Oryza sativa Japonica Group: one gene and its partners. The protein of the gene in region 3 binds, or shares a complex with, the protein of the main gene of each other region. Links are inferred from orthologs where the notes say so. Each region holds a gene or a part of one and is shown on either strand. Other genes may lie near its edges.

Region 1 (3,647 bases), on a different chromosome or scaffold from region 3:
AATTGTGTATTTCAACCGAAAAGAGAAGGCAAAAACAACTCTCCAAAAAACTTGGAGTTTATGTTTTGTGCCATGTGTGCTTCTAGAGCTGCGAGTAGCTGTAGGGAGCCAGGATTAGTATGGCTGGTAGTTAGTGAATTTCTGATTGATAGCATTTCAATTTTGTCATAAACTGGTGCGTTGATCTATGAAATTAGGCAGTTAGATTCATCGCAAATTTTTAATGGGATGAGAATATGTAAACACGGTATGTAAAGTTATCCATTAACTAGTAATACATTTGTAAAATAAAATAATTGACTGTCCTTTCTCTTTAAGAAATTGAGGAAACCACCCGTGAAATCAGTTTACTGGTACTTATAAATTATATTATCTTTTTGGGCACTTTCTTTTAATGAGGGCATCGATGTATCTCTAGAGGAGGCCGAGATTTGGGTTGAAACGGCTAGAGTAAAAAATCGGCATGAAAACCAACACTACATTGGTTTGTATAATTGTATAGACAAAATTATGACATCTGATGGTATTTGCAATTATAAATTTATAATCACACAATATATCTGATTGTTCAAGCAAAAGGGACAAAAGACTACTAACATTACTTTCGAATGATGTACAGATGAATTCCTGGTCACAGTTCTAAAGCTAGGCCTCTTGTACCCCAAAGGCCTTCTGGATTTCAGCTATGACTCGGTCTGCGACATCGGGACCAAACATCCTCGGCAAATTTGAAGTCAGGTCGACCTCGATTGACTTGGACCTTACAATTTGGTCCCTCTTTATCATGTTTTCTCTCTCGCCTTCTTCCATCTCTGAAGTATGATCAGCACAACTATCAAGCCAAATTTGAAGAAGTGCCCTAGCAGCTGTTGCTAGTTGACCACGCACTATCTCTTCCAAGGTACCCTCTCCTCCTTGCCCACAGTCGATGCTCATCAGTATTGCTGTCAGTGAGAAGGTGCTGCGCACGAAGAGGGATCGCGATCGGTATGGACGGGCCTGCGGCAATTCTTCGACCTTCTCACGCTGTTTGTCCACCTGAGTATTCTCATAGTATCTCTCTATGTATTCGGGATGGAGCGCAAGGTCTTTCCGTGGGAGAAGGTCCAGAAGCACCACGATCGAAGTTGGGCTACCTTGTATAAATTCCATGAGGAAATGCGGAGCATCTGTCGAGGCGTTCAGAAAGATGAGAAGAGATGTAATGTCGATTGCGCCATTTGGGACTTTGCAGTGTAGTGAGGACTGGAGCATGAAATCAATCTGTAGACAAGAAAAATTAATAATTTAACTCCATTTGTCATTCCTTGCAGAACTCAAGAAATTCTACCACGCTAAGCTACTGAGCACTAGGGAGCATAATTCAGGTGTTCAAGTGGTGAGATTAGTTTCATAATTTGAATGCTGTTGATCATTTTGGCCACTCCAATTGTGTCCGTTCAGTTGGAGTGATTTTGTTTTTTTGTTTTTGGAGAGGAAACAAAATCTGTGAGTGATAGGAAGAATCACGAATGAGGTACAAACTCTAGAACAGACCAATTGTTTCCATTTCGATATTGGAAGCAAATGAACTAATTTGAGCATTGCCAATATAATGAAAAGTCATAATTTGCTCCGAAGAGTTGGATTATGGATCTTGGCTTCTAAAAGTTTGCAAGTTCACCTTGATAGGGCAAATCACAAATAGTTCGGCAGCAATTTTTCAGTGTAAAACAGTTTCAGTAAATTGTCCAAGTCTTTTGACATGCCATTGATCTATTCTGCTCTGTTTGTGCCAGCCTGTTTTTACCAGTTTACCACTACCATTTCACTACTTAATTAGTTAATTCATATGATTCACTACTTAATTCATATGACTGATTCTGATGGTGCTCTAGACATTACCAGTTTACCACTACCATTTCACTAATTCATATGACTGATTCTGATGTTCTCCAATCGACAGAACAGGTAAATCTGTACGATCTGACGAGCAAAAGTGAGAGGAGGGGTGCCATTACCGTCGATCCCGGCGCGCCGCGGCGCACGTCGAGCGAGCCCACGGCGTTCCCGGCGCCGCCGCCGCTGCGGAACTCGGCGACGTCGGGCGGCACGGCGGAGGGGAGCAGCCGCGCGCCCAGCCGCGCCTCCGCCAGGGACGCGAGCGCCCGCGCCACCTCCCGGTGCGCCACCTCCACCATCACCTCCGGCTCCGTCGCGCCCGGCGCCGCCGCCGACGACGCGCGCACGGCGCTCGACGTTTTGCCCCCGAGCTGGGAACCCGCGCCGCGGCGGCGGCGGCGGAGGGGGAGGAGGCGAGGAGCGAGGGTCGGGAAGGAGACGGCGGAGGACGGCGAGCTGGTCGCCGGCGGCGGCGAGCGGAGTTGGAGCATTGGATCACGGCGAGGTGTTCGACGCGTGGACGAACGGAGCGAGAGATGAATGTGAGCGAGAGGGAGTGAGAAGGATTCCGTGAACGTGTAGAACTATCCCTCTTTTACTTTTGTAACTAGTGCAGTATATACATAGGAGATGATTGAAAGAGAGATCTGAAAGCTGCTGTTACAAATCCATCAGATTCCAAGACATTATCTATTGCAATTTGCAAATGCCTTGTTTTTTTTACGGACACTGCATTACTGAAATGTGAGATAATGCCAATTGAGGTGGTATTTGGGAATCACAAAAATGACTAGTTTAGTCCCTCCTTCGCAAACACCACATGAGTTGGTTTTTTTCTTTTATACTTCCTCCGTTTCAGGTTATAAGACTTTCTAGCATTCCCTATATTCATATAAATGTTAATGAATCTAGACACATATATATCTAGATTTATTAACATATATATGAATGTGGGTAATGTTAGAAAATCTTATAATATAAAACGGAGGAAGTACCATGCTAATGACTGGGCAGCTCACCATGTAGCGCATAAGCTTGGGAACCGAGGTGATACTTATGCCCTATTCTTTTCTCCAATAAAAGTTGGATAAACTTTTGGATACTCGTGACACGTTTTTCAAACTGCTAAACGATACGTTTCGTGGGAAAACTTTTTATATGAAAGTTGTTCTAAAATATCATATTAATCCATTTTTCAAGTTTGTAATAATTAAAACTTAATTAATCATATATTATTACTACATCGTTTTGCGTGAAACACTTAATCTTCATCTTTATATTTATCTTCAGGAGATTAAACACACCACCTAAACCTTAATACACTTGAGGCCATCTGCTACTGCTGATCACTCACTGCTGTTGCTGCTTATCGCTCCATGGGCCAAGGCCCAAAGCTCACAAAAGGCCAGATGCTGCACACTAGCTTTCTTCCTCAGTCCACTAGCTCTTCATTTTCCTTTTTCCCCCCTCTAATTATTGTGGGGGCCATATTACTGAAGGAGAATTCGAAACATCTTGAATCTTCTCAGAGAGCTTGAGAGTGAAATGAGTGGGCCGGCCAAAGAAGACCACTATGGAAGTGAAAGGGGAGGGCAAGAGCGGTTCGAAGGTCAATGAAATGGGTTCAGTTCCCTTGTCAAATAGGGGCCCCGACCCATGTTCAATCACTGAAGTGTGGTTGAGTGAGATGATCCGCAACCAACAAATGATTTGTCATTGTCTCTAAATCACTGAATGAATTCGTTTTTTATTTATATATGAGAACT
Region 2 (4,053 bases), on a different chromosome or scaffold from region 3:
CTGTTTCACTTTAATACCCCAAATAGGTCTAACCCAAGGATCTTCTCTCCCATACATAAGAGATATGGGAATACCCTGCCTTTGGCACCTGCAGATTATGAAATGTAAAAATACAAAATCGTATTTTGTAAGCAACATGGCAATTCATCAAATAGTATATCCAGTTTACCTAGATAGAGCTTCTTCGAAGGATATTTGTCCCTTTGGAGCACACATAATGGATGCAAATGATGCAGCAGCTGCTGGATGTTGTGTTGTCTCTATAATACGCGAGAACACCATGTCCACATTCGTTGAGTGGTCAGCATATACTTGCTTGAGTATGCCCTGTATACTTCTTGGATCACTTATTTTCTGCCACCTGCACCAAAAAGATATTAAATGAGATCCACCAAATTTATATCACCACATGGATAACTTGCATAGTTCTAAATGATGCAGGGACCACACAATTGCTATTGAATAACAGCTTGTTTAATCTGTTAAAACACCAATACATTGCACAGCCTACCATCCTAACATGAGAGAGGAATGACAATGTAAAAGGAAAAATAATGGCAGAAAATGACATACAGAAATATACTTTATATCTAGGTGTGATTTTATAAAAAAACACGTTTTTTTTTTGAAAAAACAATTATTAGCTATACTTATAGTACCATATGCAAACTAAACATAGTCTAAATCGTTTCTTCACTGGTGAAGTATGCAATCAATTTCTGTCAAAACAAAAGGTAGCAATCTACAGATGCTATGCCTTGCTACAAGTATCATAAAACTTTTGCATTCCATGCATTCATTATAATGAAAAAAAATAGTACACCAATAATTAGCAGAAGGGATAAATTTAAGATTATTCAATATCAATATGCACATGTGTTTCCCAAAACCTAAAGGGTAGCACATACACTGTTTCAGTAAGTTTCCTCACAAACGATGGAAGTGGAAATGTCCCAGCCCATGGAAAAATCTTCGACAAGCGAGGAGATGTAGCAGGGTTGGGAAGGAATCCCCAAAATGGGGTTGCATTAAGTAATGTGACACCCTTTACAAGGTGTGGACAGGATGCAGCAAGATATAGAGAAACAAAACCTCCCAGAGAGTTCCCCACAATATATACTGGTTCACCAATAACCTGAAAGAAGGTTACAAAATTAGCATAAGAAACATATGATATGAATCTCATGGTAGGACTGTTATGGATAAGTAAACTTAAGAACTTTGGCATTACACATAATAACACAAATGTCAAACCTGCTATATGAGATTGGGAACAGGGCTCCTTTGCTCTCTATTCTAGATACTGGAATAAAAGAATGTGTTACAAGTGTGTGTGCCAAAAAACAGGGCACCTGCTTTGGGCAACATAACGGTTCTTATATTCTATTAACCGAATATGAAACGCTGAAGTTTGTGAGATTCAAGAATCTTCAATAACTAATAAATAGCTATTATTGCAGGCCCTTCAAAGAGTGCAAAGCATACTAGGATTTGTGAACTAAAGATGATATTTTTTTAGCAAAGTAAACATAAAACTACACAGAAAATAGTTGAAAGAAGTACCTCTTCAATAAAATGCTGAACTTGGTCACGCCACAAATCTATCGAATACACCAACTCCTCCGCCCATGGTTGTAATTCTTGTCCAAAACCCCAATATGTGTCCTCATCTAGCTCTCCTGATGTGCTCTTAGGAGCAGGATCTTCACATGGCAACGACATGCCCTGCCCTAGAAAATCCATTGTCCATACTTTGTAATCACGGCCAAGATCCTTCAATTGCTTCTCAAAATGGAACGTTCCCACTCCAAAACCTGGTAGAAAGAGCACAGACGGTGCCTTGCTATTGTCTATGCCAGACTTTTCATAATATACACTCAGCTTCGGCTTCCATTCCCAGAAACCAGTACTAATTAGAGAGCTTTCAGGTCCTTCTGGCAAGCTCGGAATGATCATCTTCTCGATCTCACCGACTTTCTTCGGGATCCCTTGGAGAGCTGCATCGACATCACTTACATAGAACCCATGGCTCGCATGAACTTTCCCAGAATCAGCAGGATTCGAAGCTGTCCCTGACCGCACACAAAGAATTGCACTTCTTGGCCGAGTGAGCTTTGCATGCCCTGGACCAAGACCATTCCCCGGAAACCTCCAAGCACTGCTAGGTGTTCGGTTAAATGCCAAGCAGGAGTGGCTGGAAGAAACCACTTCCATGGCCACACTAGTGGCTAGCACGCTAGTTCTGCAACAGATAAACCGAAAGATACGTTTAAAAGAGCGAACTCGAAAAACTGAAACCAAGAACTATCAGCCTTCAGATTAATTTGATCGGGAGAACCGAAACCAAAATTTTAACTGTATCAAACAGATGGGTTAAGTTCTCGAGAATAAAACTAATCTACACAGCGAAAATGAGCTTCGACCAGCCAGCAAACCAATTCCAAATCCAGCAATTCATGCGAAACCCGGGAACTGTTCCCCGCACGAGTAGTACACACATGCCAGGGAGTCCCCAGGAAGAAAAAAAGACATAGCAAACACCTAATTACAGATTACTCTCTCCTAGTGAGAAATCGGTGAATCATACCTGAAAATCGACACCTATTTCTCAGGTGATTTGGAGAAGAACACTTCGCAAAAACTAAACTAGTAGAACTGCGAGCTCAGAACGGAGAGGGAGCGGGCAGCTGAGCTCGCTTATAGGGCGCGAGATGCGATGGGGAGGGGCGGAGGTGGGAACCACCGCGCAGCGAGACGGTTCCTCCGGCGACCTCGTGGTCTCGCTTGCCCATGCGTGCACGTCATCCTCGGGTGGACGAGAGGAGTGGAGGAGGCGAGCCCAACGCTGCGCGGGGGCCAGCACGTGGACATCGTCCACCGTGAGCCAGCGAGCCAAGGCCAAGATCCGCCTCCACCCGGTCTGCCGGACTAGCGTAAGCACGTGTCGAACTCGGGCTTCGAGACAATGATGGAACTACTATGGAGGAAGGGGCAGGCCCGGTCGGTTCGTTTGTTGTGCGGCCTGGTAGTTAGGAGAGGTTTGCAAGCAAACGCGCGGAAAATGACCGGGATTTTGGCCGTTTTGCGGAGAATTCCAGGTATTGACGGCAGCGCGTTTACTACGCGATGCACATTGGGTAGTATTGGATATTTTGCAGACTCGTCGTACGAATTCAGAGCCATTTTATCGGGGAGAGAAACGCGTGGTAAAATTCGAGTATTTGCTTCCGTGCTCCCGACGGGTAGAAGGAATTGAGCCATGTTATCTAGCGAATATAGCGGAGGAGAATTGCAGCCGTCTAAAAAAATGAAAGCTTCCAGATGGAGGAAAAAAAAGAAGGAAGAAGAGAGAAATTATTAAATCCCATGAATAAGACTATCAGATTTGACGTCGTAAGTGTTGGGTACGCTCAGATATCCACCACCTTAGCACCAACCGATCCAGAGGACAGATGTTGTTGGACCTACTTCTCTGCTTAGATCTGGGTGTCCCGACGCTTGCCATGCCATCCATGTGTAAGAAGAGATGGCGGTGGTAGAGAGCAAGGAGAAGAGGTCGAATCGGGCCATTTGATTAGCTACAACATCATGTGGTTTTAGCTAAAGTTATTAGGAGGCTTAAGCCATGTTTAGAAACATTAGTACACTATTGGGATAATTAATGCTTCATCTATAATTAATTATGGCCATTTAATAATAGCTCACAATGATTAATCATTATTAGTTAATTAATCTTAACAACTAAAACCATATTCATGGTAGGTTGTGAGCATATGGTTTTGATGGTCGTGCTCATGACAATTAAGGACTGGTTCACGAGCTACTATTGTGAAGCACTAATTGTACTAACCACAAGCCAACATGGGTAATAGCTAGGTTTGTAGTATAATACATTCAACAGGAGACACCAAGGTATGTTGTTGTTCTTTTATCGTGGCAGACAATAAGTCCACAAGTGGTAGGCAATTAAGTGCTGGGTTTGTGGTATGCTTTCTCATTCATTCATTGTCTCAAGTGTACAATAGTGAGACTCCTCCCTCTATTTATAGGCAT
Region 3 (4,278 bases):
ACCTCACGCTTTGAAAGGACAGTGGAAGGCAACACTTCTTGGCTAGGATTTCCAAACCAGTCAGGTTGGCTGTTACCAAATTTCCTTAGCCATGCCCGGAATGCCAAAACAAAACGGTCAGCCTGCGTGGGTGTAAACGTGATCTTTGTGTACTGCTGATTAATATCTGCAGAAGACTCCTTCGATGCAGACAAGAAAATCTTCTCTTGCCCTTGCAGAACTATCATATCACCATCATAGACCAAATTTGAAGTCCAATGCTCATACCATCGAGGGACAAGCTGCATCACATACACAAAGAAGCAAATGTATAAGAACAGGGGATTCAGGGTTTTACTTTATACTTTCGGATATAATGAGAGCATAAAATTCACTCTAATTTTTAATAGAGCGGGGATCTTTACTGCTGTTTTCCTAAAAAGGGCACTAACAAGTAGATTGAAAAGGAGGTAAATAGAGAGAGCTACAAAAATTGCAGATACCTGCCACCATGCTTTTCCTGGCATGCTAAACTGGAAAAAGTTCCGAGCACTACAAACTATAGAACGAGTCTTCCCTGGGGCCATTGGAATGTTGAAAGAGCAAATCCATATGACCCATTTCTGATCTCCAAAAATGGGTAACTTTGTGTCTATCTCAATTCTACAAAAAACGAAATACTAAAAGATCAGAATCATAAGTGGAGTTACTGGATGTGAAACTGATATATGAGCTAATTCACATCAAAAGGCAAATGCAATGAAATGGGAAAAGGCATGATTAGAGTGTTTTGCTGAACATACTTGTTCAGTGCATAGCAAGGGGCCACAAAAGTTGCACTGATGCGAGGGTTTCCAGAATTTGACCCTGAATATCCCCATGCACCACTTGATTCCATCTTGAATGGCAAAGGCCTGGCTCGATCTCTTCGACCAGTGACCTGTGAGAGGAGTTAAATTTTGAGGCAAGGATAATGCTGCCTAGTTAACCAATTTCTTTGGCCATGGGAATCGTACTTTTGCTCCATGAATAATGAAGGGAAGACAAATGGTCTAAGTTGTGGATTTACTGAAAGTGCATCTTAGATAATGAATCATACCTCTAGTCCATGTACCATGAATCCATAACAGACAGTTAATACAGTAGCCTCGATTAAGTAAGTATTATTCAATTTTAGCACTAGCCAGTAGCTTAAGTAAAGAGACTGAACGATGCTGCAGCTACATTTTCATATCAAGGTGCAACAGGCAGTTCAAAACAAAACATTGGCAATCATAGTCCACCAGAAGCCACTGTTAAGAGATTCAACCAAAAATAGAACTACTAAAACCAAATTGAGGTATGATGTGCAAGTACGGTACACAACAAACCATCCTCATATCTCAAATGTGCAATATCCAGGACTAGCATTGCGTGCCAGTACATTAAAGTAACTGATCATTCTCAAATAAAAAATGTAGCATTACCTTGTGGTGAGCAAATTCTATATGCGACGGATCAGAGACGTTCTCCATCAATGTATCATAGCCATAGTACAGATCCCTCTGGATGGTCACCGTGGAGAACGCAGGATCCTCAAACTCCTTCGGTAACCTGGAATCAAAAACAGGATCAAACCTCGTCACCGACGACCTTAACCAAACTCAATCAATAAACCACTAATCCAGAATATACACGCACATCGGAGGCTTGGTAGCCGTGGCCTTCTCCCACCCATTCTCGTCGGGCCACACGAAGAGCAGCCCTTGCGAGACGAGGGTGGGGAACTTGATCGCGCACGCCTTCGGCGACCTCACAGCCTTGGCCTCCGGCCCCTCGGGCGCCGCCTGCGGGATCCGGGTGCACGCGCCGGAGCCATCGAATGACCAGCCGTGGTATGAGCACTGCAAGCACCCCGTCTCATCGATCCGCCCCTCCTACGAACACACAGACATCCAGATCATCGCCGTGAATTCAATCGGATCAAAATTGGCGCAAAAGAGGAAGAGATTGGAAGGGCGCGTGGCGATACTCATACCGAGAGGGGCGCGAGGCGATGGGGGCAACGGTCGTCGAGGGCGACCCACTCGCCGGATTTTGGGTCCTTCCAGATGACGAGGTCGCGGTTGAGGAGCTGGAACGGGGTGGGCACGCTGGGGTCGAGGTCCTCGACGAGGGACACGGGGTACCAGTGGTCCCTCCACACGAACTTCTCGTCGGCCGACGACGTGCTCGGCTCGGTCTCCCCGGGCGCCTGGTCCGCCTCCCCGGGGACGGACGGCGGCGCCGCCACGCGGAGCCGTGTGTCGGCGCGGGCGCGGCGGAGGCGCAGGCGACCGGAAGCCGAGAGCGCCGGGAGCGAGGGGACCCGGCGGCTCGCCGGCAGCGGCCTCGGGGAGAGGAGAAGAGATGCGGTCGGAGCCATCACGGGCATTTTCGTCGACTCGCTTGGGAAGCCTCGGAGATCTGAGGTTTCTGTGTGGTTTTGAAGATTTTTGGCGTGCCGGTTTTTATAGCTCGCACCTGGTGTGGTGAGTGGTGACTGAGGTAGGCGAGGAGACCAGTGTTCTTCCAGAAGAACAGAGTAGTAGCACGATGGAGGAGGAGGAAGGCGAGAGCTAACTGGCACTGGTAAAATCGCCTGTTTCTGGCACGAAAACCAGCAGCCGGAAGGGGGATTCGAATTTTCTCGTGCGGAGAGGTGAGAAACTGAAGAAGAGAGTAGGAAACGGAGGTGGAGGAGGAGTCCGTGGTTGCGTGACGGCACGGCGGAGGAGGCGGGGGACAAGTGTGCAGCAGGAGCACGCATGGCGTTTTGCGGGGTGTCGTGTGGTGGAGCTTCGGCTACGCAGCGGCGGCCAACTTCCCTGGGTATACTCACTCGTAGAGGTGGCCAAACGGGCCGGGCCAAAACGGGCGGCCCGAGGCACGGCGGAACCTGTAGCCGGCACGGCCCGGCACGGCCTGCTACAGTAACGGGCCGTGCCGGCACAGCACGAGTAGCCGTGCCGTGCTTGGGCCGCCGGCCGAGCCCGCGGGCCGGCACGGCACGGCACGGCTACTGTAGTAAGTCCGCATCTCATCCTTCCGCAAGTCCGTATCTCATCCCTCCCAACTGACGGCCCAGCCCGCTAGCCGCCTCCGCAAGTCCGTTGAGCACCCCTCCTAGCTGATGGCCCAGCCCGCCAGCCACCTCCGCAAGTCCGCATCGCATCCCTCCGCGCCATTTCGGTTCCTGGGCCAACCGTGCCCCGTCCACGGCCCATTTTTCATTCACGGGCCCGTACTGACACGGCGGGCCACACGCATGCCGTGCCGGCACGGGCACGGCCCGGCCATCCACGGGCCGTGCTTGGGCCGGCGGCTCGGCACGTGGGTCGGGACGGCACGGCCCGTTTCATGAGCCATGCCTAACGGGCCGTGCCGAAACGGGCCGTGCCGGACCCGTGCCCGTGCCGTGCCGGGCCGGGCCGCCCGTTTGGCCACCTCTACTCACTCGTGAGAATGACACGAACCCAACCGGCTTGTGGGAGCCGGTCCGCCCATTGGATTCTGGGTTCACTTCGGCAGTTCGGCGCCGTGGACATGAACAGGCAGTGTACGGAACTTTGACCGCCCGCGCCCCATCAGTGCACTTTGTGATCCAGAACCGTTTGATACTACTATGGCATTTATTTATGAGTAAATTGCATGTTGGGCCTCATATTTTTACCATGGTTGCAAGTTGCACCGGAGGTATGCACCTTGCTTAACCTCGTCCTCTGCCCATCGTCGTGCTCAACCTTTGGCCTCCCACTGCGATGCGCTACTTAAGCTCGAGGTTAACAGATGCCATGAAGCCTCACCTTGCAATCTTGCAGTCCATTGTTGTCATATGCTAGCCACAAGATGGTAGAAGCACAAAACAATAATCATCATAAGGCTGCAATCCACCTGCCCAATGTAAATGTCCTCGAACATGTAGAGCTTGGAGTGTGACCAACTGACCATGGGCTTGCTGACTTGGTGAAGGAATACTCCTAGACCCCCTCCCCCCCCCCCCCCCCCCCCCTGCAATCTCCACAAAATCCTCCTCGCCGCCGGCGCCGATCGGTAAATCTTCACCAAACCAAAGCCAAGCTATTCCCTGCAGATAGCTCGACAGCAATGGGGGCAATTTTTCTTTCTTTTTTTCGTTCCCTCCTGAGCTTTAGTGCAAACCTAGATGGGGAGATTGAGATCCATCACAAGTGTGTGGCTTTGATGCTAACTCTGAGAGAGCTTTGGCATTAGTACAGCGCTGACTTTAGATAGCTAGCTACCTGACCTGTTACTGGTCAG
Region 4 (4,214 bases), about 24 Mb from region 3:
ATGAAGTGATTGTCAGGTTGTGTATGCAAAGAGTTTACTGAGGCTGAGGACGAACTTATGCAGATCAAGACAGAATATTATGCTCTGCAAATGCAGTGCACAAGGATACTACAATTAATTTGGTTGGGAGTATATGCGATGTACAGCCAGCATGTGCAAACCAGCAAGCAACGCTCACCGCGAGAGTGGCATGGTGACAGCGACGAACTGATCGAGACTTAATAGTATCACTAGTGCAGAAGCAACGGCAACATATCGATCGTAGTACTACTAATTACTACCAGGACACGTGTAATCACTACCCCAGATGCAACAAGAGAAGGGTGGCGTTTCTTCCCAGTAGCCACATTTTCCCTTTGTCTAACTTATGAATCAAGTATGCACTAACACTACAGTCCATAAATCCCAAGTGTTCCTTACCTGTAAAACTGAAACACCCTGCTCAAAGCCAAGCAACTAACTGAGTTTCTAAGCAGCATAAAAACCGAAGCAAGCAATTAACCCATAATTAATTAATTATTAATTATTATAAATTTGATAAGTTGGTCCATTTGAATCCTTTAGAAAACTTCTATATTTTTTTTTAAAAAAACACTTTTTAACAGTTTGAGAAATGTTCTAACGAAAAACGAGAAAAGTTGAAGTTTAGAGTTAGAGTCTAGAACAAAGCATAATCATCTTACTTTCATCCCCTTCTCATCATGTGTTTCTCATAGGTGTGTAACTATATAGGATCCAATACATTCTTCCCAATTTATAATTATATATGGTTTAGCCCATGTTTTATTCTCAATTCACTCATCCAGTCAATTCCTAATTATATGGTTTAGTCCGTTGCATGTTACTATAAGAAAGGAAAAGAAACTATTATAAAAGGAACTATTGTAAAGCTTCGACTCCAGGTATTCCTAGTCTCCTGGTAGCTGTGGAAGGAACGAAACTCCAGGGTTTTCGACTCTGCGCTCGCTTCGGTCGCAGTGGTTCTGGAGTCCATCCGCTCGGAGGGCCAGCTGTGGTCTTTAGTCGGCGTTGCTTTTTTTGGGGATTTATTGGGAGTGTAGCGTGGCTTTGCCCCCTCCCGCTGTTTGGAATTACGTTTTTAACCGTCGTAGTAGTTCCTAGCTTCAAGTCCCCCCTTTAGGCATAAGCCAATCTGGCTGATTGCTTTGTGTAACAAAAACTCTTTTCCTACTAATATATTGACGTGCAATTCTTTTGCGCGTTCGAAAAAAAAAACTATTGTAAAGCACATGCATATAATAGTTAAAAAAACCTTGCAAAATAGTACTAGTACATACTACTAGTAGTTTAAAAGAGAGAGAGAGAGAAAGGATGATTGCTCACACTGACTTGTGGGCCACCTCCACCTCTTAACATCCGTACTTAACTCGCAGGCCCCCTCCCTTCTAAAATCCTCGCTCGTTAATCGTTATCCAGACTCCGCGACGGCGAGCCGGCAAGGCGAGCACCGCAGTTGACGACGCCTCTCCACTCCGCTCCCCTCCCCTCCCCTCCCCTCGTCTCGCTACCGCCGCAATGGCGGCCACCGCCGCCTACCTCCCGCTCCGTGCCCAGGCGCAGGTGGGCCTGGCTCCGCTCCGGCCGTCGGGCTCGGCCGCTGCTGGGGCGCGGTTGCCCGGCCGGACGGCGCGGCGCCGGCTTGCGGCGAGAGGCGGGCCGGAGGCTGCCGGTATCCGCGCGGAGGCTGTCCCTGGTGGTGGAGGGGTCGCGCGGAGGGCGGCCATGGTGCCCCCGTATAATGTTCTAATCACCGGTTCCACGAAAGGTGTTGTTGAGTTCTCCCCCCCTCGTCGTCGTGTTGCTTCGCATGCTTGATCTTGCTTACAAGAAAGAAGTAGGATGTCTGTGGATGCTTTTTGTTGGGATGCAATTTAGTAGGAGCATATAGGAACTGGTGGTGATCGATATTTCTGAAATTCTGAATGCTTGTGTTGGAAATAATTCAGATGGTCAGGGTGTGGTGTGGTGGCGATGTTGTTTTTTCGTGCCTTATGTAGCCGAGAAGAGAGCAACACCAATTTGGAAGTAGGGGTGGAAGTGGGTAGTGCCGCTACCAGCATAAGAACCTGCTTAATTAGTTCATTTCCTACTTTCTAGTACACAATTTAGAAGACAAAATGAACTAGAACATCAGTGCATTCGGCATTGACCTTTTAATCAAACAATGCAAATCAGCTTGAAACTGTGTGGAGCAATTGCTTTGATACTGTATTGTGGTAAAAAAATATTTAAATCCTGACATATTAGATCTTTTGGTCAATGGTGGTAGAGGTATATCTCCTAAACGCTTCCTTTGTGGAAGCTTGTTTCAAAAACCTTTGTAGTACAACTCAATGACCCTTGTTTGCTCTTAAACAGGTATAGGATATGCTCTGGCAAAGGAATTTTTGAAGGCTGGCGATAATGTTGTAATCTGCTCAAGATCAGGTACAGAAATGATTTTGTGCTTTCAATAGGTAGCGCTAGTTTTAGTAATTATTTTTGAGTGATGACATAAATAAAATTGGATAAATTATCGAGCCTAAGATGCATTGCAAATTGATTTGCATGGTCAAGTCTCGTTTACCTGTTTCTTTATTTTCCTCTCTTCTCATTTGGATGATCCATTGACCTAACACTAAAATATGCACTATCCAGCTTTTGTCATTTGATGCTCATTATCGCTCATTAGGTGCTCTATATAGGGGTCATCTGCTTGATATGACTGACCTGTTAAATTGATCTTTCATGAAATTTTAAAATGAATAAACAAATGGATTGCTAGGATTTTCTTGAGCCCACTTTTAGTGAGAGAATGAAAAAAAAAAAAGCAAACAAGTTACAGTTTAGCCTTTCCTTGACATGCAGTCTATCCTCTACAGCTGAAAGGGTAGAATCTGCGGTGACTGACTTGAAAAAGGAATTTGGAGAGCAACATGTGTGGGTACCTACTTCCTACTGCTGAGCTACTTGATACTTTTACTGCCATTGGAGTCTCCACTTATAATTATGTTTGTTGAAAATTTTACAGTGCAATAATACTTATGCAACTGAACTGCTTCTATTTGTATTATTGCAGGGAATTGTCTGTGATGTTAGGGAAGGAAAGGATGTAAAGGCACTAGTTGATTTTGCACGTGACAAGATGAAGTATATTGATATTTGGGTACATAATCACCCCATCATCATCAAATATCTGCACATGAACTTACTCATGTTTATATTCTTTTCATATGTACAAATATGAAAATCACTGGCTATAAAGTTATGCTGATTCTCACTACATACTCATGAGTGTTCGAAATTTCTCAGCTACCCTTTTTGAATATTTAAACTTCAGTAATTTAATTGAAGCACTCAGTTATGTAGTGTTGAATCTTTTTGGGTAAAATCTAGAACCATAAGAAGGCAGGATTTTCTCCTTATCTTTGTGTTCCTTTGGCACAGATCAACAATGCTGGATCAAATGCATATAGTTACAAACCGTTGGTCGAGACCTCCGACGAGGCTCTCATGTAATTTTCATGCTGTCTTTTTATTTATGGCTTGACCAAATACATTCAATTGTGCTTTCAAGCTATATTCAAACTCCACTCTTTCTTTGATTTAATAGGGAAGTGATCACAACTAACACTCTTGGATTAATGATATGTTGTCGTGAGGTATTTCTTTCAACTCATACTAGCTTTCTGAATTTCATTACAACAACTGTGAAGATTCATTTTCCAAATATTCATCTTCTTGCCATCTTGCCATCTTAGGCAATAAATATGATGAGAAACCAACCTCGAGGTGGCCACATATTTAACATCGATGGTGCTGGTTCTGATGGAAGGCCAACCCCAAGGTATGCATTTCCATTTGTTCTGTTCTGTAGTAAAATGTAGACACTCAATGTGCAATTCAATCATTATATCATTATGTTTGAATTCTCATACAGTATGAAGCTATGAAATTTCACATCATGTATTATGTCCTTTTAGTTTATTGCTAATTGCTAATAGGAGAGTACCTATGATTCCACATAACTGTGCCTCATAAGTTTCTGTGCTGAATTTGGCTTCCATATAGACATATACTGTACTGTTATCAGTAGTTTCAACCAAATGAAAAAATTACACCACTGCGGTGGCCCCCGCGCGCGCGCGTTGGGGGGTTGGGGGTATCAAGCGATATTAAATATAATTATATTTTGGTAACTAGTGCTTTTGTGG
Region 5 (4,057 bases), on a different chromosome or scaffold from region 3:
AATAATGTTGTTTAGGCTAAGCAGAAAGAAAAATAAGATGAAATAACTAAGTCAGGTTGCATGACGAATATAGTTCTATGAACTCTATTAGAATGGAAAAGACTCTGATTTTCCGAAGATAATTAACGTACCTGAGAAATATCTTCATCTGAAAAGTTTACCAGTGGCCTAAAACCTTTGTTTGTGCCAGCGTTATTTATCTATACATAAGAATAAGAAGAATAGCACATGTTAAGTACATTCTGCGATGCCACAGTACAGAACAAAATAAAAAGGTTATAAGTACAAAAACTTGTGCACTCAATCCAAGTATCCAACTGAGTACCCTACCGTGAAATAATGCAGAATAAATGATGGGGATAGATATGTAAAAGTAAATTATTTACCCAAATATCAATTGATCCAAGCTCATCCTTGGCAAAGTTCACCAACTTTTTCACATCTTCTGGTTTACAAACATCACATGATGTACCAACAACCTTGGCATGTAGCAAAATTTCTCTCTGTTTCTTTTTCGCAACTGACAAGCCCTCCTGTATGTTCTCTTCAAGCTCGTTGATGGTCTGAAGGACTGATTCAGGGCTGCCTTCAAAAAATAGGATATTTAAAACTAGGACAACGCATTGCATTTCATAAAAAGAATATCATGGATATGCAACAACAACACACATTGAGCTACATGTCTATGAGTACCACCTGCGTGAAGCAATTACAACACGATCTCCAGAAAGAAGGAACTCCCGAGCAAGTGCTTTCCCTAATCCTCTTGTGCTGCCAAAATCAAACTATAACTTCAATGTTGATTGCAGAACATGGATACTAATAAGAAATCAGCTCACAATTGATGCAATGAGAAGTCATGTTTATATTAACATGTTTATGAGGTTACTTTAATGATTTGTTCATATGACTGCACCTCATAATCTCCTCTATGCACCAACCCGTATAAACTTGGTGATTGTTATGGTTATACTCCACTCATCAAATAAGAAAATAGAGAATAATAGAAGGTGAAATAGTATTTCCTATCTAGGAATAAATTCATTAGTTTTGATTATTACCTTTGACCTGTACTCACAGTATGCATGCTTCCTAGCAAAAGATTCAGATGGCATGTGAAAGGAAGAATGCAAAATGGGTTACCTTCCAGTTATGACAACATTGCGAGGTCCAGCTTTGCAGTGTTCCTCTAGGACACTGTTTGCACCTATCATCGTGCCAATAATTACTCCCCCGAGCCAACTATACCAAATTAGTGTATTCATTTGGCTGTCTCCGCCTAAATAGAAAGGTAGCTAGGTCATTACTGAAACTCTGAAAATGCCCATTGTAGGGAAAAAAACAGAAGTATCCAAAGGCAATGCAATATATCAAATGAATGTAACTAACCTGATAACTGAAATCCAACTCCAAGTACAACACCGCTGCTCATCATAGTGATAACATATCGGCCTACTTGCGTAGCAACCTGAAAAGGAGAAGGAAATAAGTCAATTTGAAAAAAAGAACACCTATTTCAGAAAAGGAGTTGATCCTACAACTCAGTAGTGATAAATTCAGAACCACTCTGTTCAGGTTTGCAACAAATAGAAAATTACTGATGTGCTTAGGTTAGAGAATCAGCCGATACCGGAGATTTTATTTATATCAATACAAAGAATCAGCATGCCTAGGAAGCAATTCAATTGAACTATAAAGCAGGCCTGTGCATGCACTTACAGTCGGACATGTAAAACCATGAGCCTGGCAGCCCATGCCCCCCATACAATGGTAGATGCAAGAACCAGAGAATCTAGGCCCATATAAATGAGGGGCGAAGTAAATTTAATCAAGAGCGAGTTTCAAAGAAGTTTAAAATAGTTTCAAAAGCAACAAAGGCTACACAAAATGACACCTCTGGCTACGAGCCGCATCCTCTGCCCAGGCAAATTGCTTCACAGGCCTGCGATTAATTTTAGCGCAGGCAGAATTTGCTCTCCAGCACATAAACATAAAGGGAACTGACATTACAGAATTTCACAGTAACTGGAGCCTACTGTATTACTAGTAAGAAACAAGCTGATTAGTGTTGATCAGCTCATCGATTTGTGCCACAGCTAGTGTATTGGATCCTAACACCCATTGAAACAACATAGATCGCCTAAACTCACTTGTAGCTGTAGCATCTGATGGGTGCAATTCCCATATGCAGCTAAGCAAGAGCTGATTAAGGTAGTAGCGCTCGCTAACGCATTGAGTGGTTGAGCCTCCCGATACGTGGCAACAATTAAAGGCAGTCGTACTAGTAGATCACACGATCAGATGAAAAAATCGGCCATAAACATATTATCATATTATCATGTAGAGAAACTGCGCTTGCGGGGGAGCTTGAGGGGGTTCAGGAATGGAGCTCACCGAGAAGAAGATCTCCTCGGCCTTCTCGACGGCGCGCTGGTACTCGCCCCCGTACGCCTCCGCGGCCGCCGACCGCGACCCGGCGAGCCCCTGAATCGCCGCCTTCAGCTTGTACAGCGGGCCCTTCCTGCGCCTCCGCGCCTCGGCCGTCGTCGGCGGCGGCGGCGACGACGAAGCCTCCTCCCCGCCGTTATCGGCCTCCTGCTTGAACGCGCGGCACCGGAGCAGCGACGGGCGGTGGTATGGCCGGGCGTGGAGCTCCGGCGAGCGGCGGAGGCGGCCGTGCACGGAGAGGTGGACCACCGCGGCGGCGGCCATGGCGTCGCCGCGAGCGGATAAGGATTTCGCACTCCGGCGTCCTACGCTTTTTTGTGGGGTTGGGTTCCTTGGTTTTAGGAGAGGGCGTGTGCTCACCACTTCACCATCGGTTAAATAATGCGTACGGCTTGGTGAAATACCCTTGGGAAGTTTCGAAATTACGTTCAGGTCCAAATCCATCGGGTTAAACTGAACCATAATTATGATTTGAGATATAAGTCATTCCTAATTTCGTTCCCAAAATTTATCTACCTCTAATTTCAACATTATACTCCCTCCATTTTTTAATAGATGAAGCCGTTGATTTTTTTCTCACATATTTGACCATTCGTCTTATTTAAAAATTTTATGCAAATGTATAAGATATAAATCACACTTAAAGTACTATGAGTGATAAAACAACTCATAACAAAATAAATTATAATTACGTAAATGTTTTGAATAAGACGAATGGTCAAACATGTGAGAAAAAGTCTAACGGTGTTATCTATTTAAAAAATGGAGGTAGTATGTCGTTGTCGTCAAGAAATTATTGGCACGACAGCGTTAATTTTACTATCATGCTGCACGTTTTAATTTTAGTTTGGCAAGAGGATTAGACAAGTGTTCGGACGAGTGACTGGGTGAGGACAAAAAAAGATCTAGGTTGCGGGGAAGGCGCAAGCACAAAGACGAGGTGGCCACACGTTGAAGCAACCTCATCCCCGCCGGCGCCACGCGCCACGTGGCCGCAGCGGGCCGCCTCGTCGGCGTCCTCCTCGTCGTCGCTTTGCTTTAGCTTTTTGGGGTCGCCCTCCTCTCTCTGCCTCCCCCAAACCAACCCCTCGCTGTCCCAGATGGAGCGTGAGCAAAACCGAGGATATTTTCGTTGTCACCGTCCGGAAATATCTCCGCACGGTAACAACAGGTAGTAACTCGATCAACCTCGTCGTCGTCGTCGACGGTAACTACTAACTCGCTGGAAATCGATCTCTCAAGGCGGGCGCGCGCGGCAGCCAAATCGCAGAGGAGTGGAGTACGTGTGTTTCAGGTAAATCAGCCGTGCGAATGCCTCCCGTGCGCGCGATGCGAGCGATCGTGCTTGCTGCTGCGTGCACGGAATGCTTGGCACGCACACGCAACTGAGCTGACCCGGACGGGTCAGTGGCCCCCGCGTGTCGAGTGTTGACGCGTAGGAGGTGTGGTCATTACTGGTGGAACAGTTGAACGTACAGGTGATTTGTCTGGCCGTATGTAAGCTGAGGAATTCTTTATGCGTGCACTCAACCGCTTGCTAGTGTAGTAGCACTCTCTGACTGCTGGATAATGACGACGAGGGGAGAGCCAGGGCCAAGGAGTGTTTGAG
Region 6 (3,982 bases), on a different chromosome or scaffold from region 3:
AGGAGCACGGATCTAGCGTCTCCGCTCTTCGTTGGGTCGGCTCGTGCCTCCTGAGTTAGTAAGCTCGACACCCTGACCTCAATGGCAACTGTGATAATAGTGTGCATGACGATGGGGGAGGAGAAAATACATGTCGGTAACTGGAGGGTGCGACTGTGCATGCAAAGACGAAGAGGAGGAACGATAGTGGCTTATGGAGAAAGAGCGGTTGGTGGCGATGCGTGGAATGATAATTAGGCCCCGTTTGGTAGGGCTCCAAACTCCAACTCCTATTTTTACTCTAAACTCCAACTCCAGTGAGAGCTAGCTCTGATTGGAGTTAGAGACTTGTTGAAAAGTGTTTGGCTAGCTTTCAGCTATAAATCTGAAAAAAATAAAAAAAATAATAATAAAAAAAGAAAACCCAGTCGCTGGCCATCCCCAGGCGCGCCGCCGACCGCTGGCCACGCACCGCCCATGCGCCGTCCCGGGCGCACCGCCCGTCGTTGTCCCGGCCGCCGCCGATGCTGCCGTCGCCCGCCGCCGCCGATGTAGCCGTCGCTCGCCGTCGCCCCGCTGACGTTGTCTTTGCTACTGTCGCCCGCTGCCGCTGTCGCCCGTGCCGCAGACGCTGTCGTCACCCGCCACTCGTCGTCACCGCTGCCGCCCACGCTGTCGTCGCCCGCCACTCGCCGTCGACGCTCGCCCGCTGCCGCTGGCTCCTGCCAACGCTGCCGACGCAGTCGCCGCCACCCGCCGATGCAGATCGGGAGGGGGATGGGAGGATGAGAGAGAATGGGGGAGAGGAGGTGTGGAGGGGTAGTTGGGTGGCATTTTTGTGAAAATAGGCTAAAAATTAAAGGGTAGTGGGTCTTTTGGGGTGAAGTGGAGCTGTAGAGTAGCAAAAACTCAGCTCCACCCCTAGTACAAATTTGTGGAGTAGCTCTGTTAACTCTGCTCTGAAAAACGGAGGATTTGGACCGTTTGGCACAGCTCCAGCTCCAGATAAGTTGAAGTTGGGAGGTAGAGCTGTGCCAAACGGGGCCTTAGTAATTGCTGGTGGTACGAAGAGTTTGTTCTCGACATAATCCCTAATCGAGTTGAGTAATTTATTTTTTTTTCATAGTATTGCTAATACGTGGCCCACTCGTCATCATAAGGAAAAATGTTGAGATAAAGGTAGCGTAAAAGAAAGAATCTCCCGTCTCGTCTCCTCCGCTCGTTGCGCCAAGACGAGTCGCGGCTGAACAGGGGAGGGGAGGTGACGAGCAGAGCAGAGCAGGGGAGGGGAGGGGATCCTGGTGAGCCTCTTTCTGATTCATCTCTCTCTCCCACCGGGACTGGAATTTGCTTGCGTTCGTTCGTTAACCCTAGCTTCTCTTCTAGATCTGGAAGAAGCTCTCTTCTCCTCGTTAATTTCAGAGCCTTAGCCTCTCTTAATACAAGTAGTAACAGTTTGTTTGTTTGTTCCCCCAAAATTCCCAAGTTGGATCCGCCCCTGGCTCTAGCGTTAGCACGGCTGGTACCTAGGGTACCTGGAGCTGATATGTTGAACCACTGGTTGATGATATGGTTTATGGACCGTATAACTATATAAGAACGTATGATGGTGCTTGTAAGGATGAGATTTCCCATATATATTATCCACCAAAATAGATTTTCTTGGTTTAGGCAATGCACTGTGCATCTGTTGCATGTCACTTGAAATAGGGCGACAAGTACCCCGTATGGGACATCGTAGATTTGTAGATGAATGCCAGCCATCGATTCAGGTTAGATGCAAACTTGTTTGATGGCTTAGGTGAGTTTCGGGCAGCATCTACGCGACTTATACTAGAGAATAAATAGGGAGTTAACACAAGATCTTCCATACAGCACTTGGGAAGATTGAATAGCTACCTAGCCAGTTAAATGAGCGTTTTTCTTTTTTTCATCCCTTCTATATAGCAACAAGAAGAAGAAAGTAGGTTACTTCATAGCATCATATATATACAGACAGTGGTGGTTTTAGATGACTATGGTGCTGTTAAGATGCGAGGGTGGTATGTCGGTGGAGTGGGTGCAGCGGTAGAGGAGAGGACTGAGGGTGGGAAAGATGGTGTGGGTGGGGAGAATCTGAGCCTGAGGAAGAGGAATGAGACAGATATTCACTTGCATTGGTAGAAGTTCCTTTCTCCTATTTTCATCCAAAAAAAAAAATCCTTTGCCCTACAGGATTAGAAATAATTATATGGTAGCGTGCATCATTGTAATTTTAGAAAGTCACACTTGAAAAATGTTTAGTACTTTTATGCAGGTTGTTAATTCATTCTGTAGATTAATTCATTCGGTAGATTATCATATTTCCACGTGAATTTCACATGCAGGCTGACTATTCAATATCCATGGCGCGGTGCATCTCCTTCCTGTCTACCTCCTCGTCCTTGCCATGTGCCACAAAACCGCCCTGCTGCTCAGTGTCCTCTGTCTTACCCTCGTCTCCGTCCTCTCATCAATGCCGAGGTAGGAAAACGAGTTGCGGGTCAATTAGGGCGCTGCGGGAGGATTGGAGGGAGAGATCCAAGGCCATCCCTCCTGGTGGCGTCTACCCAGCCAAGGACCACTGCAGCCAATGTGGGCTTTGTGACACCTACTACATTGCGCATGTCAAGAATGCCTGCGCATTCCTAGGAGATGGCATGTCCCGTGTCGAGGTATCATGCTAGTCTTTCCTTCCTTCATGCATGCGTTATTTCTTTCAAGCTAGCTAGCTTACCAAATCACATTTAAGTAGGATTTGGAGCCATTGGTCCATGGGAGGGGCAGGAAGCAAGACATGGATGAGATGTACTTCGGAGTGTATGAGCAACTCCTATATGCCAGGAAGATGAAACCTGTTGAAGGTTTGCTCCTTATCCACCATTTTTTTCTAGGCCACAAGATTGTGGTTACATATATGCTAATTAATGGCCAAGTAATTTGTGCAGGAGCCCAATGGACAGGAATAGTGACAACGATTGCGGTTGAGATGCTAAAGGCAAATATGGTTGATGCTGTGGTTTGTGTACAAAGGCACCTAAACAACAATCAAATATTACATAATTGCTTTCCGTTGCAAAAGGATTTTTTTCATGGTCTTGAGAAAACTGTTGTTTGTCTCCTCTGCAGTGACCCAGATGACAGGCTTGCTCCAATGCCTGTTTTAGCCAGGTAGGTACTAAGACAATGGTTGCTTGCTACTTCAGATTTTTTTTTTTTTCATATGGCTTGTGCTTACAACTTCTTACTTAAAGTACATTTGCATTTTACACTTATATGGTTTTATGGTCCATGAGGAGGTAACATGAGATACCACATTTTGTAGTATAAATTTTGGCACTTCCCAATATCTGTGATAGAAGATGAGGTACCTCTCGGTATCTCCTCAAGGACCATAGAATCACTCAAAAGTAAAAACCTTGCTTCCAGTCTACTGATTAACTACTTGTGCTGCTCATGCTTGCTAGAATTGAAGCAAAATTTGATTGATCAACTATTATCTCGTAGGACGCCAGATGAAGTTATTGCAGCCAAAGGTGTGAAGCCAACATTATCACCTAATCTCAATACGCTTGCGTTGGTTGAGGTAAATCTATCTCTTGTGCACACTATGCATCCTTTTTTTGGGTCACTAGCTCCTGTGTCTTGTCCCCTGCCCTTCAAAACCTATACAGGCATATGGGTGATTACGGCAGATATCTTTTGCCTTGGACATGAACTTGGAGTCATTTTTTCCAGAGCATTTTTACCTCATCCCCTTTCTAGGCAATTCGAATTTAGTTTGGTTTCAAAGGAATCAGAACTAATGTTGTTCTATTCAACCTACAAGATCAAATTTTACTTAATGTCATTCCAGTAGTGACTCTAAAGGCAAAACAAAGTCCAATTTAGGCTATTAGATTCTACAATCAAGACCATAATGATATGATGACAATATGACATGATAGTTGGTCCATACTCTATCTTCCTGACTAACTCTGTCAAA

The links.
Region 1: pheophorbide a oxygenase, chloroplastic-like (region 3) and red chlorophyll catabolite reductase 1, chloroplastic share a complex: the UniProt entries of both Arabidopsis thaliana proteins name them as parts of the SGR1-CCE-LHCII complex. The link is inferred for Oryza sativa Japonica Group from reciprocal best matches to the Arabidopsis thaliana genes ACD1 and ACD2.
Region 2: pheophorbide a oxygenase, chloroplastic-like (region 3) and pheophytinase, chloroplastic share a complex: the UniProt entries of both Arabidopsis thaliana proteins name them as parts of the SGR1-CCE-LHCII complex. The link is inferred for Oryza sativa Japonica Group from reciprocal best matches to the Arabidopsis thaliana genes ACD1 and PPH.
Region 4: pheophorbide a oxygenase, chloroplastic-like (region 3) and chlorophyll(ide) b reductase NOL, chloroplastic share a complex: the UniProt entries of both Arabidopsis thaliana proteins name them as parts of the SGR1-CCE-LHCII complex. The link is inferred for Oryza sativa Japonica Group from reciprocal best matches to the Arabidopsis thaliana genes ACD1 and NOL.
Region 5: pheophorbide a oxygenase, chloroplastic-like (region 3) and probable chlorophyll(ide) b reductase NYC1, chloroplastic share a complex: the UniProt entries of both Arabidopsis thaliana proteins name them as parts of the SGR1-CCE-LHCII complex. The link is inferred for Oryza sativa Japonica Group from reciprocal best matches to the Arabidopsis thaliana genes ACD1 and NYC1.
Region 6: pheophorbide a oxygenase, chloroplastic-like (region 3) and 7-hydroxymethyl chlorophyll a reductase, chloroplastic-like share a complex: the UniProt entries of both Arabidopsis thaliana proteins name them as parts of the SGR1-CCE-LHCII complex. The link is inferred for Oryza sativa Japonica Group from reciprocal best matches to the Arabidopsis thaliana genes ACD1 and HCAR.

What each region holds. Positions count from the first base shown.
Region 1 is NC_089044.1:13,537,302-13,540,948, forward strand, and holds red chlorophyll catabolite reductase 1, chloroplastic, read right to left. Parts: upstream 2,473-3,647; 5' UTR 2,373-2,472; coding exon 2,001-2,372; intron 1,264-2,000; coding exon 646-1,263; 3' UTR 501-645; downstream 1-500. UniProt on the Arabidopsis thaliana protein: Catalyzes the key reaction of chlorophyll catabolism, porphyrin macrocycle cleavage of pheophorbide a (pheide a) to a primary fluorescent catabolite (pFCC).
Region 2 is NC_089040.1:14,710,846-14,714,898, reverse strand, and holds the start of pheophytinase, chloroplastic, read right to left. Parts: upstream 2,801-4,053; 5' UTR 2,588-2,800; intron 2,243-2,587; 5' UTR 2,215-2,242; coding exon 1,564-2,214; intron 1,136-1,563; coding exon 909-1,135; intron 362-908; coding exon 170-361; intron 89-169; coding exon 1-88. UniProt on the Arabidopsis thaliana protein: Alpha/beta hydrolase dephytylating specifically the Mg-free chlorophyll pigment (pheophytin), yielding pheophorbide. No activity on chlorophyll. Belongs to the chlorophyll catabolic enzymes (CCEs).
Region 3 is NC_089037.1:2,583,873-2,588,150, reverse strand, and holds the start of pheophorbide a oxygenase, chloroplastic-like, read right to left. Parts: upstream 2,801-4,278; 5' UTR 2,768-2,800; coding exon 1,997-2,767; intron 1,896-1,996; coding exon 1,660-1,895; intron 1,573-1,659; coding exon 1,446-1,572; intron 920-1,445; coding exon 783-919; intron 643-782; coding exon 483-642; intron 282-482; coding exon 3-281; intron 1-2. UniProt on the Arabidopsis thaliana protein: Catalyzes the key reaction of chlorophyll catabolism, porphyrin macrocycle cleavage of pheophorbide a (pheide a) to a primary fluorescent catabolite (pFCC). Works in a two-step reaction with red chlorophyll catabolite reductase (RCCR).
Region 4 is NC_089037.1:26,388,996-26,393,209, reverse strand, and holds the start of chlorophyll(ide) b reductase NOL, chloroplastic, read left to right. Parts: upstream 1-1,414; 5' UTR 1,415-1,536; coding exon 1,537-1,786; intron 1,787-2,379; coding exon 2,380-2,448; intron 2,449-2,882; coding exon 2,883-2,944; intron 2,945-3,079; coding exon 3,080-3,166; intron 3,167-3,447; coding exon 3,448-3,515; intron 3,516-3,613; coding exon 3,614-3,662; intron 3,663-3,761; coding exon 3,762-3,847; intron 3,848-4,214. UniProt on the Arabidopsis thaliana protein: Required for chlorophyll b degradation. Chlorophyll b, chlorophyllide b, pheophorbide b and pheophytin b can be used as substrates. Belongs to the chlorophyll catabolic enzymes (CCEs).
Region 5 is NC_089035.1:7,033,609-7,037,665, reverse strand, and holds the start of probable chlorophyll(ide) b reductase NYC1, chloroplastic, read right to left. Parts: upstream 2,801-4,057; 5' UTR 2,713-2,800; coding exon 2,395-2,712; intron 1,469-2,394; coding exon 1,390-1,468; intron 1,280-1,389; coding exon 1,144-1,279; intron 772-1,143; coding exon 697-771; intron 583-696; coding exon 387-582; intron 201-386; coding exon 132-200; intron 1-131. UniProt on the Arabidopsis thaliana protein: Involved in chlorophyll b degradation. Belongs to the chlorophyll catabolic enzymes (CCEs).
Region 6 is NC_089038.1:14,944,139-14,948,120, forward strand, and holds the start of 7-hydroxymethyl chlorophyll a reductase, chloroplastic-like, read left to right. Parts: upstream 1-1,182; 5' UTR 1,183-1,280; intron 1,281-2,345; 5' UTR 2,346-2,363; coding exon 2,364-2,672; intron 2,673-2,752; coding exon 2,753-2,861; intron 2,862-2,945; coding exon 2,946-3,030; intron 3,031-3,126; coding exon 3,127-3,168; intron 3,169-3,504; coding exon 3,505-3,583; intron 3,584-3,982. UniProt on the Arabidopsis thaliana protein: Probable iron-sulfur flavoprotein that converts 7-hydroxymethyl chlorophyll a to chlorophyll a using ferredoxin as a reducing equivalent. Catalyzes the reduction of a hydroxymethyl group to a methyl group. Belongs to the chlorophyll catabolic enzymes (CCEs).